Linked DNA regions of Xenopus tropicalis. The protein of the gene in region 2 purifies or fractionates together with the protein of the main gene of each other region. This does not show direct contact. Links are inferred from orthologs where the notes say so. Each region holds a gene or a part of one and is shown on either strand. Other genes may lie near its edges.

What was found. The genes of interacting proteins can lie anywhere in the genome.
Region 1: the proteins of rnf139 (region 2) and insig1 purify together in Homo sapiens (affinity purification with western blotting, with the first as the bait; 3 studies listed by BioGRID). This does not show direct contact. The link is inferred for Xenopus tropicalis from reciprocal best matches to the Homo sapiens genes RNF139 and INSIG1.

The regions. Positions count from the first base shown.
Region 1 is NC_030682.2:16,633,055-16,640,767, reverse strand, and holds the start of insig1 (insulin-induced gene 1 protein), read right to left. Parts: upstream 4,861-7,713; 5' UTR 4,778-4,860; intron 2,604-4,777; exon of another isoform or gene 2,601-2,603; 5' UTR 2,581-2,600; coding exon 2,247-2,580; intron 1-2,246. UniProt on the Homo sapiens protein: Oxysterol-binding protein that mediates feedback control of cholesterol synthesis by controlling both endoplasmic reticulum to Golgi transport of SCAP and degradation of HMGCR.
Region 2 is NC_030682.2:140,381,946-140,389,607, reverse strand, and holds the start of rnf139 (E3 ubiquitin-protein ligase RNF139), read left to right. Parts: upstream 1-2,775; 5' UTR 2,776-2,840; coding exon 2,841-3,003; intron 3,004-7,662. UniProt on the Homo sapiens protein: E3-ubiquitin ligase; acts as a negative regulator of cell proliferation through mechanisms involving G2/M arrest and cell death.

The DNA of each region.
Region 1 (7,713 bases), about 120 Mb from region 2:
CCATCTGGTGATTATTGACTGAAAATTCAACTGGCCTAAACGGCTTGCAATAAAATAGGCAACAGACTGCATGGATCTGTTTTTATTTGTTTAAAAACCAGAAAATCTCCAAATTAAGCATGGAAGCTATTGAGTATAACAGCTGTGCCTCCCCGGCCCCTGCCATATGGACTGAGCCAGGCCAGGAGCAGTGCAAGCAGCTTACAGCCAACTCCTCATCACTTCCTTAGTTTTCGATTCTCTGAACAGTGTGGTATGTTGAGCTGGGCAGCCAATCAGAAGGCAGCCAGACAGCTCACCAGTTTGGGAGGTGGCCAATCAGAACGAGACAGCCTTATAGCATTTCCTGTGCTATCTAAAGAACGCAGAGCCGGCGTCAGCAGTCAGAGCAGAAAGTGTTCTCGGGCAGATATAGGGTTTCTGGCAAAGAGCTTTAAAAGGGGGACGGGGGGGGGGTAAGGAATTTTTTGGCAGTCAGTCAATTTATTTAACCTTGTTGCAATAAGCGAGGCATTCTGAGGCCAATTGTGTCGGCACATACTCCCTCCTGACAGTCATTCATTGTTACTTTCTTTATTGCCTTTCATAGTTAGGACAAAGCAAAAGGGCAGGAATACCATTGCAGCAGCGGCCCAGCTAAAGCATCCCCCGGTATTGTAGTTAACAAGGAATTGGAGAGATGCTCTGTGCACAGCTGTGCATTTACAATGTCATTTACTGGATAAGTAAAGAGAGAATGGACATGATAGAATACATATATAGTTAGGGCCACTGGGCCGTTTAGAATGGACAACAGAACCACGCTTAGAAGCAAAATGAGTTTTTAGGGTGAAGACACACGGAGCTACTAATAGCAGCTACTTGTCGTGGCTACTAAAAAATACAATGCTGATCATTTACTGATAACTGTCTCTACATGTGTTTTAGCAGAGGCAATTCTCAGTATTGTCTATGGCAGGGTATTTTGTGGCGTTTAGTAGCCTTGAAAAGTAGCTGCTACTAGTAGCCCTGAAAAGTAGCTGCTACTAGTAGCCCAGTGTGTCTTCACCCTTAGAGATCTACAGTCAACTCTTTAGTCATTTAAGAAACCACTCTCTTCTCTAGACTTTAACCATGGCTTGAGCGCTGGTGTAAGTAGGAGTTACTGGCATACCCCACAATCATTTTAGGGCTATCCTATATTGATTATCCTCCATTGGTCCCCATATACCTTCAGGGCCCACCAACAGTCAGAGGGTCTCCTTCCTCTAGTTACACCCTTACCTTGACATAAGTAAATGAGTATAAACCTTGCTGACAGTCTTCCTAATGCAAGCTCTACGCTGTACTTTACAGGGACTCCTTCTGCTTCCTGGTGTCACCAGTATAAGCGCCCCCCCCCCCCCCCCCTTTAGGAACCCTACTGGTCTTCCCTGCTTTGCGCTGTCTGTAATCTGTGCCAGAGCATTAAGTATGTAATCAGCCCTCCTGCACACAACATGCAGTGCCATGCCCACAAACTGCACTCTCTGTATGTAATAAGAGTTTAATATATGGGGCCCTACCACACAGGGAGAGTATGGCATCATGGGAGCTTGTGGACTTGACACAATACGTGGTACAAGAGGGCTTGCAGACTGAGGTTAAGTATTAAATGCCACTCTTCTCTCCTGAACTGCTGGGAACAAAAATCCTCTATATAGAATCCTCTTGCTTTAAAGGGGTTGTACACCTTTACATTAACTCTTAGCACGATGTAGAGAGTAATATTCCAAGACAATCTTCATTTTTTATGGTTTTTGAATTATTTAGCTCTTTATGTAGCAGCTCTCCAGCTCCTATCTAGTTGCTAGAGTCCAAATGACTCTAGCAACCAGCAATTGATGTGAATGAGACACTGGAATATGAACAGGACAGGGCCTGAATAGAAAGGTAGGTAATAAAAAGTAACCATAACAATAAAACTGTAGCCTCACAGCGCAATAGTTTTTGGATGCCGGGGTCAGTGACCCCCATTTGGAAGCTGGAAAGAGGCAGAATTCAAAAACTATAAGAAAAATTGAAGACCAATTGAAAAGTTGGTTAGAATTAGCCATGCTATGACATACTAAAAGTTTACTTAAAGGTGACCCACCCCTTTAATAGAGAGGCAGCTATAGCTAAAAAGCAGGCAAGAGTTGCCTAAAAGGCTATGGCCTATGCCGGTGCTACTGAACCTTAGTCAAAGGCAAAGCTCCATAAACCAATATGGACAAATGAATACTCACCAGCTGCAGTTCCACAACATGGAGGGACCCACCAAGCAGAGGAAAATATGGTAGCAATGACTTCCTCTGGAAACAGAGTCACATTCCTTTGGATCTGAAGTAAATTTAGGACCAAAGCAAGGAACACACCAACGGCAAAGAGTACGAGGCTTCTCCGGATAAGGCTCCGACCTTCGCTGCTGGCCAGGGTGTGGTAGGCAAGGCTGAGGAGAGAGTTTAAGGAGGACATGGCTTTTGCAGCTCTTTGGGCTAGCCAGGTGCTGAGCCTTGTACCCTTCTTGTCTCTTCCTCGGGTGCAAGAGCAACTCCAGCAGTGCTCCTCTAGTGTTTGCATTTGTTTACGGCTGTATGGAACTGCAGAAATGAAAGCAAAAGCAGAATATATTAGTTGAAAAGGATTTCCTGCTCTGCATGGCATTCAGTTCCTACCAATGAGCATAGAGGTCATCACCAAAGAGACCTACAGAATAGCACAAATTGCCTTTGTCTGACATTCATTTAAAAGGGAAATACAGCAACCCGTGGGCATAGTTTGGTAACACAGCTGACAGTTAAACTATCTGCCATAAGTGGTGTATTTCCCTTACAAATGAATGATAACCAAGGGTTGATTGCTCTCAGAGCACCACTGTATTCAAAATGCAAACTTTTCCATAAAATAAAAACAAGTATTACCACAGACACAATTTGACAAGGCCCCGTCCTCCATTGCCACCAGGAGGGTCGGAGATGAAAGGAGACACCTGATTGGCTGTTACAGACTACAAGAACTGGACAAAATGCAATGTACTTTCTGTGTGCCAGTAAGCCAACATCTGCACATTTTTTTGGACCACTCTGCTTCCCTTACTTTTCCATAAACATCAGCTGGCAGTCCCACGTCACATTCTCCAGCACAGAGCTGAACTGTAAAGCTGCACAGCATGCAATGGCAACTGCAAAGCTAACTTTAATGGCAAAAATGTCCATATTTCATCTAAATGCATATATAGTCAGAGTAGTGGCAAAAGCATTGGGAAATATAAATGCAGAATGATTATCTCAGACTGACTCTCTCTAAACAACAACACAATGAGTTACCAATAGTGCCTGCAGTATGGGCCAATGCCCAGCAATAAATCACCAACCAGGCCAGTGACTAGCAGCAGGGCACCAACATTAGTGGACCAGTGCTACGGTACATACTTTAGTGGGCTAATGTCTAGCAATATGGCAACATTTTAGGTGGCCCATTGTCAGTACAGCACCATCTTTAATGCCCTAGTATTCTTCATGACCTCAAACCTGCATTTAAAGAGCTAAGCTCACGTTTGGAGAAGCAGTGCCTAGGCCTGTGGCATTGGACCATAAGGGTGAAGACACACAGAGCTACTAGTAGCAGCTACTTGTCCTGGCTACTAAAAAAGACATTTACTGATAATTGTCTCTACCAGTGTTTTAGCAGAGGCAGTTCTCAGTACTGTCTATTGCAGTGTATTTTCTGGAGTTTAGTAGCCTTGAAAAAGTAGCTGCAATTAGTAGCCCAGTGTGTCTTCACCCTTAATGCAGTGCACTAGCATATGATATACAGCAATGATCCAGTAACCTGCACATCACAATAAATGCAGCAGTAACCGGATACACAGCAGCCAACTATGCTCAGGGCAATGGCACCAGGTTTACAGCAGCATTACCCATTGCCCCCAGCGGTATTACCCATTGCCCACAGCACCATTACCCATTGCCCCCAGCACCATTACCCATTGCCCACAGCACCATTACCCATTGCCCACAGCGGCATTACCCATTGCCCACAGCAGCATTACCCATTGCCCACAGCAGCATTACCCATTGCCCACAGCAGCATTACCCATTGCCCACAGCAGCATTACCCATTGCCCCCAGCACCATTACCCATTGCCCCCAGCACCATTACCCATTGCCCCCAGCACCATTACCCATTGCCCACAGCAGCATTACCCATTGCCCACAGCACCATTACCCATTGCCCACAGCAGCATTACCCATTGCCCACAGCAGCATTACCCATTGCCCACAGCAGCATTACCCATTGCCCACAGCACCATTACCCATTGCCCACAGCAGCATTACCCATTGCCCCCAGCACCATTACCCATTGCCCCCAGCACCATTACCCATTGCCCCCAGCACCATTACCCATTGCCCCCAGCACCATTACCCATTGCCCACAGCAGCATTACCCATTGCCCACAGCACCATTACCCATTGCCCACAGCAGCATTACCCATTGCCCACAGCAGCATTACCCATTGCCCACAGCAGCATTACCCATTGCCCACAGCAGAACCAAATGGCAGCAGATACACAGCTGGCAGGAATGGCACCCCATTGCCCCCAACAGTGCCAAGATACCTGGCATGACATATCCCTTAGTCCCTGCTGGGTTGGCATCAGATACACAGTACCCACCATCCCAGTGGCACCATAGTGCCAGCAGTCCCTAGCGACCCCATTACAGTGCCAGTCCCTATGGCATCATATTCACTGCATTGCCCCTCAGCTCTCCTTACCCACAATGCTGTGCTCTCCCGGTATCCAAGCTGTGCTCACTCCCAAGCGGAACGCAGGATCTATGAGAGCGGATAAAGTTTCCACCTTTTAACCCCGGTATTAGGATTTCCTCCCCTGCCGCCTCCCGTAGCTCCTTGAATCTGACGAGATGAGTTGGAATGGCTCAGGTAGTGATACTGTTGTGGCAGCATCTCCCCGCCCACACGGCCAAACCTCGGCTCCTCCCCCTTTACCCCCGGTGACTCACATAAGAGCAGGATATGCCAACAGCTGTCCCGACCCCAACAACAACATGCGTGTCTGGTGAGCCGCCCCAGCCAATCAGCGGCGGCCTGCCCATATGACGTCGCGGCCGCACCACGCACACCCACCTTGCGCACTCCCGCGCCTGAGACACAAAATCAAAACAAGAGATGGGAACACGTGACTCGGCTGGGGGCGGGGGCGCGCACGTAGTCTGGCTGGGAGGCGGCGTGCTGCCATGGCCTGTGTGTGACTGACGGGCGGTACGTGTTGAATGGAACGTTCCAGGTGTGATGTCCCCTATCTGGTACTAGTGTAGTTATCCATTAGCCCGGGGCCTGATGGGTGGAAGGCAATGACTTACAGGACCTCGGCCTTTTGGGTCTTCCTCCTGTGGCTGAAAATAGCAGCGCTGTCCGGTTCTGTCAATATATAGACTGTGAGCAGCTCGGCTTCAAAGTGTCTCTGGGGGCAGTGACCTGACTAGCGTCTGACTGGCTCCCTGGGCTTCAGCTGCTTATGGCTCAGTGTCCCACTGGATCCCCTATACCAGGGATCCCCAACATTTCTGAGCTACACGAAGGGGCCCATTTATCAATGGACGATTGGTTACGAATAGAAAAAAATTGTATTTTATAATTTCCGCTACTTTTTGCGCTACAAAATCGTATTGTCGCAACGAGTACGAAAGTTTCGGAATCATTCAAGCTTTGGTATCGTGACTTTCCTTGGGCTTGGTTGGAGCTGCAGAGTGCCATTGAGCCCTATGGGAGACTTTCCTTGGGCCAGGTTGGAGCTGCAGAGTGCCATTGAGCCCTATGGGAGACTTTCCTTGGGCCGGGTTGGAGCTGCAGAGTGCCATTGAGCCCTATGGGAGACTTTCCTTGGGCCAGGTTGGAGCTGCAGAGTGCCATTGAGCCCTATGGGAGACTTTCCTTGGGTCCGGGTTGGAGCTGCAGAGTGCCATTGAGCCCTATGGGAGACTTTCCTTGGGCCGGGTTGGAGCTGCAGAGTGCCATTGAGCCCTATGGGAGACTTTCCTTGGGCCGGGTTGGAGCTGCAGAGTGCCATTGAGTCCTATGGGAGACATTCCTTGGGCCGGGTTGGAGCTGCAGAGTGCCATTGAGCCCTATGGGAGACTTTCCTTGGGCCGGGTTGGAGCTGCAGAGTGCCATTGAGCCCTATGGGAGACTTTCCTTGGGCCGGGTTGGAGCTGCAGAGCGCCATTGAGCCCTATGGGAGACTTTCCTTGGGCCGGGTTGGAGCTGCAGAGTGCCATTGAGCCCTATGGGAGACTTTCCTTGGGCCGGGTTGGAGCTGCAGAGTGCCATTGAGCCCTATGGGAGACTTTCCTTGGGCCGGGTTGGAGCTGCAGAGTGTCATTGAGCCCTATGGGAGACTTTCCTTGGGCCGGGTTGGAGCTGCAGAGTGCCATTGAGCCCTATGGGAGACTTTCCTTGGGCCGGGTTGGAGCTGCAGAGTGCCATTGAGCCCTATGGGTGACTTTCCTTGGGCCGGGTTGGAGCTGCAGAGTGCCATTGAGCCCTATGGGAGACTTTCCTTGGGCCGGGTTGGAGCTGCAGAGTGCCATTGAGCACTATGGGAGACTTTCCTTGGGCCGGGTTGGAGCTGCAGAGTGCCATTGAGCCCTATGGGAGACTTTCCTTGGGCCAGGTTGGAGCTGCAGAGTGCCATTGAGCCCTATGGGAGGCTTTCCTTGGGCCGGGTTGGAGCTGCAGAGTGCCATTGAGCCCTATGGGAGACTTTCCTTGGGCCGGGTTGGAGCTGCAGAGTGCCATTGAGCCCTATGGGAGACTTTCCTTGGGCCGGGTTGGAGCTGCAGAGTGCCATTGAGCCCTATGGGAGACTTTCCTTGGGCCGGGTTGGAGCTGCAGAGTGCCATTGAGCCCTATGGGAGACTTTCCTTGGGCCGGGTTGGAGCTGCAGAGTGCCATTGAGCCCTATGGGAGGCTTTCCTTGGGCCGGGTTGGAGCTGCAGAGTGCCATTGAGCCCTATGGGAGGCTTTCCTTGGGCCGGGTTGGAGCTGCAGAGTGCCAAAATTATGCACTGAAGGTTCAAAGTCAGAAAGGTTTTCCGTTTTTCCGTTTACGATTGTTTGGTTATGAAAATTTCATAACTTTCGGATCGCACCTCGATATTTTTGTACAAGCACGACGCGACTTTACGCAAAATTAACGTACATCAGAAATTTTCTTATTTAATGCAAATTTTCGCAAATTTTACTTGTAATTCGGACTTTATGAATCTGCCCCTAAGATGTAATAAGTGTTGGAGAGCCATACAAGCATGTAAAAAGTTCTTTGGGGATGCCTAATAAGGGCTGTTATTGGCTATTTGGTAGCCCCATGTAGACTGCTGGGCTGCAGGAGGACCTGCTTGGGGTAAAACTTGGTCTCTGGGCTTCCAAAACTTGTCTCCAAGTCAGAAATGTAAATATGGAAGCTACTTTGAGGCCACTGAGAGCAACATCCAAGGGGTTGGTTAGCAGCATGTTGCCCCCGAGCCACTGGTTGGGGGTCACTGCCCTAATCCATTGTGGGTGCGCTACAGTTGTCACTTTTTGTGGAAAAAAATACCAGACTTTTTAAAATTTTCTTTTCCCCCTATTAATAACATTGGCATGAAGAAACATGGCTCCCACTAGGACCTATTGCTGAAATGAGTAGGATT
Region 2 (7,662 bases):
AAAGGAGACAAATGCTGAGAGGGGAAGAGAAACTTGATTAATTCAGAAACAGTTCAAAATTTTTAATTGAACATATTACATTTTTTATTTCAGTATGATGAAGCTTATAGTTAATGTTTATATTAGTTCCCCTTTAAGTGTGTGTTTGGTTCATGACCTAACTGGGTAAAATGATTGATTTAGTCCTATAGGTTTTGTATTGGGGAAAGCTTCCATATTTACATAACATAGTGCATCAAATTTCCTAGCGTGAAAATAGTTTCTTCACTAATAAATATACTAATGTAATACACTTGTAAGGGAAATGGCAGCACGTATGCTATGCTTCCCCCAGCCTTGGTGTTTCACTGGCTGGTCGGCCAATCCCTGCTGAGGCCCAGGGCAGAGTTAAAGATTCACAGGCAATGATCAGCGCTTTCCTGTAAATGTATAATTCACTGTCCTACTCAGAGTTGCCAGATTTATTTTGCCAAACTAGCCAAAGTCAGTTCTAAAACCAGCCTAAAACTAGCCAAAAGCCATTTTGAAAGTAGCCCAAAAATAGTCCAATATGTGCAATGAAAAAAAATCTAAAAAAAATAAAAGTATATATGGGAAAACCTGCCTTTTAAAGTGTATAATCATTATCCATCCCCTGTGCCCCCTCTCCAGTTACTGGGATGGCTGATAATTCCCTCTGTGCCCAGTCCAGCTGGGAAGTCACTACAGAAATGGATTCAGAATGTTGCATTTACCCCAGACATGATATACATATGGGTGTGTTGAACTACAACTCTCAGCAGCCCCAAGATATCCTGAGAGATATAGCTTAAGGATCAACTGCAGAACTGCCCCCACATCCCAGTAGAAAGTAACAGTACAATCACATACCCTATAGAGCAGGGAGCAGGGGGTAGAACTGCCCCACATCCCAGTAGAAAGTAACAGTACAATCACATACCCTATAGAGCAGGGGGTAGAACTGCCCCCACATCCCAGTAGAAAGTAACAGTACAATCACATACCCTATAGAGCAGGGAGCAGGGGGTAGAACTGCCCCACATCCCAGTAGAAAGTAACAGTACAATCACATACCCTATAGAGCAGGGGGTAGAACTGCCCCCACATCCCAGTAGAAAGTAACAGTACAGTCACATACCCTATAGAGCAGGGAGCAGGGGGTAGAACTGCCCCACATCCCAGTAGAAAGTAACAGTACAATCACATACCCTATAGAGCAGGGGGGTAGAACTGCCCCACATCCCAGTAGAAAGTAACAATACAATCACATACCCTATAGAGCAGGGGGTAGAACTGCCCCACATCCCAGTAGAAAGTAATGGTACAATCACATACCCTATAGAGCAGGGAGCAGGGGGTAGAACTGCCCCACATCCCAGTAGAAAGTAACAGTACAATCACATACCCTATAGAGCAGGGAGCAGGGGGTAGGACTGCCCCACATCCCAGTAGAAAGTAACAGTACAATCACATACCCTATAGAGCAGGGGGTAGAACTGCCCCACATCCCAGTAGAAAGTAACAGTACAATCACATACCCTATAGAGCAGGGGGTAGAACTGCCCCACATCCCAGTAGAAAGTAACAGTACAATCACATACCCTATAGAGCAGGGAGCAGGGGGTAGAACTGCCCCACATCCCAGTAGAAAGTAACAATACAATCACATACCCTATAGAGCAGGGGGTAGAACTGCCCACATCCCAGTAGAAAGTAATGGTACAATCACATACCCTATAGAGCAGGAGCAGGGGGTAGAACTGCCCCACATCCCAGTAGAAAGTAACAGTACAATCACATACCCTATAGAGCAGGGAGCAGGGGGTAGAACTGCCCCACATCCCAGTAGAAAGTAACAGTACAATCACATACCCTATAGAGCAGGGAGCAGGGGTAGAACTGCCCCACATCCCAGTAGAAAGTAACAGTACAATCACATACCCTATAGAGCAGGGAGCAGGGGGTAGAACTGCCCCACATCCCAGTAGAAAGTAACAGTACAATCACATACCCTATAGAGCAGGGAGCAGGGGGTAGAACTGCCCCCACATCCCAGTAGAAAGTAACAGTACAATCACATACCCTATAGAGCAGGGAGCAGGGGGTAGAACTGCCCCACATCCCAGTAGAAAGTAACAGTACAATCACATACCCTATAGAGCAGGGAGCAGGGGGTAGAACTGCCCCACATCCCAGTAGAAAGTAACAATACAATCACATACCCTATAGAGCAGGGAGCAGGGGGTAGAACTGCCCCACATCCCAGTAGAAAGTAACAGTACAATCACATACCCTATAGAGCAGGGAGCAGAACAGACAGGTTGAGCAAAAAGGAGCCTCTGTCTATACTGTCCAATTGCATGCTGGGTATTGTAGTTTTATATTAATCTTACCTGTAGGCTAATAGTTGGAAACAAACTACATTACCCAGCATGCAGTGGAACAGACACACTAGAAGAAAAAATCTTTGGCTAATTTCCAAACTACAAATCTGCCAAGGCTCCAAAAAATAGCCCAAAACTTTACCTTGGCGGGTTTTTACTTTGGAAACCCACCAGGGCTTTAAATTAGTAGCCCAATTTGCCGGAAAACCCGCCAACCCTGCTGTAAATGTATAATTCACTGTGGCGACGATAGACAGGTCAGCGGAAGCAGAATTGAAAGTTTTGCGCAGGCGCATTCCCTCCAAGGACTCGCTTCCGCCCTGAGTTGGACGTCACCGGATGCAGCAATGGTGCCGTGACGCAGCCGCCCTCCTGTTGTGTGAGAGTCGGCCGCGGAAGGAGATGAGGGGGCAATTGGATTCCGGAGGGAAATAGCCCGAGGGGGCGGCGGAGCCCATGGAGTCCCCTCCGGTGGTGGTCGGGCAGCGGGTACGGGCCGTGCTGGATGTGGCCTTGCGGGTTCCCTCTCTCTTTATCACGGACGCCATCCTGAACTTGCCCCACGATGCCTCTGCCGGCTTCCTGTCACTGCTGCTGCAGCTGGCGCTCAGACTGCTGGGTAAGGACTCCGGGCCTGCACAGTAGGGTTAGCCTTGTGACTACTAGCCTGTCTGGCTACTGCCTTGTTCCCTGTGTGCCGGCCAGTGCCATACGGTACCTTCCCCCTGCCGGCTATACATAGGGGCCTGTGTGTTCTACATGTTCCCATTAGCCTCCTGATTGTTATTCTGAGAGGTTATATATCCGAGTCTGATGGGCTGCCCTTTATACATCGGCCGAGCCGCCATTGATCAGCTACAATCTCCCTGCACCCCACAGGCTGTAAGTGGGAGTTGTAGTTCAATGACAGAAGAGCTTTAGTTTGTGCGGCTTGATATACATTGTTACCCTACCATGTAGTTACACTGTGCAATAAATATCTGCTTTTTATACAGATTCTAAAGCTTTGCTAGTTCTGCACCCCCGTCTGCTACAGTCTGCCCCCCCCCAGCCCTGTATTGGTTTCTCCCTGTTTCACTACACTCTCTCCTTAGGGTGAAGACACACGGAGCTACTAGTAGCAGCTACTAAAACAGACAATGCTGATCATTTACTGATAACTGTCTCTACGTGTGTTTTAGCAGAGGCAATTCTCCGTATCTAGTAATCTGTGGGATTTTCTGGTGCTTGGTAGCCATAACAAGTAGCTGCTACTAAGTAGCTCTGTGTGTCTTCACCCTTAGCTTTGGCTGAGTCCTTAATCAGCTGTCTGACTCTTTAGGGCTGTGGCAGACGGCGAGATTAATCTCCCTGAAATGCCATCCCTCTGGCTAGACTGTAAATCACCGGTGGGATGGCATATGCGGCGATTGAGGCAACTTTGGCAAATCGCGGCGACGCGTAAGCCATCCCACCTGTGATTTACAGTCTAGCCAGTGGGATGGCATTCTGGGGAGATTTGTTGCAGGCGACTAATCTCCCCTGTGCCACAGCCCTTAGATTAATCCCCCCATTGATGTACAACATTTGTTTTTAGGGGCCTTCTTAAAGGTCACCATACACGGGCCGATTCTAGCTGCCGATATGGGTCCCTTGGACCGATTCGGCAGCTAATCGGCCCGTGTATGGGCACTACCGACGGGGCTGCCTGACCGATATCTGGCCTGAAATCGTGCAGATCTCGATCGGGCAGGTTAGAAAATCTAGTCGGATCGGGGACCGAATGGGCTCGTTGATGCGGTCCCCGGGCCATCTTTACCTATGCCCGTCATTATAATTCGATCATTTGGCCCCAGGGCCAACGATCGAATTATCCTGGATTCTCCCGATATCGCCCACCCGTAGGTGCCAATGTATGGGGACCTTTAGTAGTTACAGATAAAATAAATTTCAACACTATCAGCTATTTATCAACAGCTGCAAGGATAACTAGAATAGGTGGCCTTAAAGGAACAGTAACACCAAAAAATGAAAGTGTATAAAAGTAACTAAAATATAATGTGCTGCTGCCCTGCACTTGTAAAAGTTGTGTGTTTACTTCAGAAAGTCTACTATAATTTATATAAATAAGCTGCTGTGTAGCCATGGAGGCAGCCATTCAAAGGAGAAAAGGCACAGGCACATAGCAGATAACAGATAAAACATTATTGTATTCTACAGAACTTATCTGTTATCTGCTATGTAACCTGTGCCTTTTCTCCTTTTTTCCAGCTTGAATGGCTGCCCCCATGGCTACACAGCAGCTTATTATATAAATTATAGTAGTGTTACTGTAGCAAACACACCAGTTTTACCAGTGCAGGGCAACAGTGCATTATATTTGTATTACTTTAAAGCTCTTTCAATTTTTGGAGTTACTGTTCCTTTAAATATCACTTTAATTAACCTCCATTTTGGGCTTCTGTAAGTACAGTGAGACATTCTCCCCCAAATCTCCAACTAACTGACCTCTTGTCTGGCCCCAGTACCATTGGGGAGGGAGCGCTGTATAACACCAGGACTGACTAGTCACAGCTGGAGGGCTGCCAGGCTGCTTTGTGCAATCCATACCAGCCATTTATCCCTATTATCCCTGTCCCTGCTAGACCTGCCCTATGTGCAGTTATTATTCCCCTGGGCTTGTGCAGTGACAGTGCTGGGATTGCTGCGGCTTCTTTAAATGGAACTGACACCCCACTAAACTTGGTATTGGCATCTGTTCCTTTATATGTGATGTTTGTATTAATTAACCTTGTAATTATATGGTTAGTGCTTGGTGTATTCATGGCTGGTTAATATTCAAGCTCTCGGTTAAGGGCAGAGAGGCATTTGGGGTAAAGCAGCCTGTGTGGCCAATAGACATGGGATGAGCTGGAGTTGGGTCAGACTGGGGCTGGAACTCTGTCGCCCTGATTGGAAAGTATTGGTGAAACTGGCTGTAAGAGCCTGACCGGCTGGTATTGTGATTAAACCTGTATAAGTGCATAACAACCGAACATATTCGGCTTTGTGTGCCCAGCCCACAGGCAGCTGCCAGACCCGGGGTTCTGCTAGCGGGAGCTTCGCCAGTCTGGGCGGGGGAGTTTGCTTTGGCAGTCGGGCAAAGTTACAAAAAATATTCTGTAAATTGACATTTAAGAGTAATGGTTTTTTTTATTGATCAGCCCAAAAAACTAACTGCCATACGCCTGAAGCAACTGCTCCCCCATTGGCTTAATTGGGAATGATTTGAGGGGCTCTCGTGTTTGCGCTTGTCAGGGGAAGCGACATGTTTCATTGCACGTGGCAGTCTAGGGGGGTCGCTGTGACACAGCTCTGTGTGCTACTGTCACTCACAGTATAAGAGGCATGTCCCATACATGCCCCGCCCCATAATGAGATCACAAAAGGGGCGGGGAGTGACAGGGGTGCGCCTATAAATTCAGAAGCTGGGAGACACGGGCTGCACAACCCTAATTCATATAAAAGTCCCCAAGGATATCACCCACCCCCCATCTCATAGGCAATAATGGAACAATATATAATGTTGGTTTCACTTTGGACTAAAAATGACTATTATTCATAAAAATAGCCCCTTAATAGGAGCTCCCTATAGATCTGCTATGGTTCCTGTCCATGTTTCAAATGAGAGGTGGGCTTGTACTAACGGACCCTGCCAGAAGCACTGTAGGAGAGAGCCAATCACAGCCCTGCAATCACACAAGCAAAGATAGGTGTCAGTTCCCTATTGGGTCAGCCCAGCTGCAGGAAGTGGAACAGATGGGCGGGACTAGGGGTTTTTTTTGTTTTTTTTTATTTACACAACAAATCAGCTAAAGCAACTTTTTAAATCACATTCCTTTTATATTTAAAAGTGCATAATGCAGTGGCATATTCTTATTTTTATACACTGTGTCCCTTTAGATGAGACATTTGCTTATGGGTGTATAGCCGAGAGCATCAGGAACCTTCCTGGAGTTGCCTGGAAATGTATATTTAAACCCAATTAACCCGGGGCCCTACAGGTGCAACGCGGTGAGAGGCAAAGTTCATCTGCATCTAGTTTGCCCCAGTTTGCCCATGCCTTCCTGCAGCACATTCCTAGAAGTCGCACACACAATAGTGTGACTAACGCACATTCAGTGCATTCCTAGCGTGCTATTGCCACCATGGACTCCTGGCTGCCGGGGTGTGTTCCTTCCAGTAGGTGTTGGTGCCTAGATAGGGGTGTGCTGCACCACAGTCCCGCCTCACTAACACCCATTTCATAGAAATCTTCTTTAAGGCCAGCCCTCTTCCCAGTGAGATGTTCATGAGTCAGAAATCTGAGTATGTTGCGCTTTTTCCCTTAAGAGAAAATGGTAGAAAGAATGTGAGGCAGTTAATGGGTTACTGATTACAGTGATGCAAGGATTCAACCCTCATTGTAATCAGTCAGTCATTACAGGAATCACCTCATTGGCTTCCACTCATCTACTAACTTTTGATTGGTAGCAGAGCGGCATCTTACTGTTTAAAGGAGAAGTAACACCAAAAAATGGTCTGTCCCCCCTGGCTACACAGCAGCTGATTTATATAAACTATAGTAGACTTTCTCAAGGAGACTTCGGCCAATCGCGGCACTGCGTATGCCATCCCACAGGCGATTTACATTCTACCCGCTGGGATGGCATTGTGGGGAGGTTAGTTGCGACTAATCTCCCCGTGTGTCACGGCCCTAAGGGTGAAGACACACTGAGCAACTAGTAGCAGCTACTTTTTCACGGCTACTAAATTCCAGAAAATCCCCTGCTATATACAATACTGAGAATTGCTTCTGCTAAAACACATGTAGAGACAGTTATCAGTAAATCATCAGCATTGTCTATTTTAGTAGCCACGACAAGTAGCTGCTACTAGTAGCTCTGTGTGTCTTCACCCTTAACAGTGCAAAGAACAGTACATTATATTGTAATGTTAATTTTTTGATGTTACTTGTCCTTTAGAAGCAAACTGACATATAGCTGGGGGATTTGTTATATTGATTCAAAGGTTGGAGCCACAAAAAAACAAGTACAATTTGTTCCTTGTTATTGATGCCTGAATTACTGCTATGGGATCCGTTCTGTAATTTGGATCAACAGACCTTAAGCCCAATAAATATCATTTAAATATGAAATATACCTAATAGTAATTGCTTAGCCATCAGTATAGGTTCCTTCAGCTTTGTCAGGATGAAGTACAGGGTCCTGTTTTATTACAGAGCAAAGAAAATCATTTTTATTGGCTTAAAACCTAATGA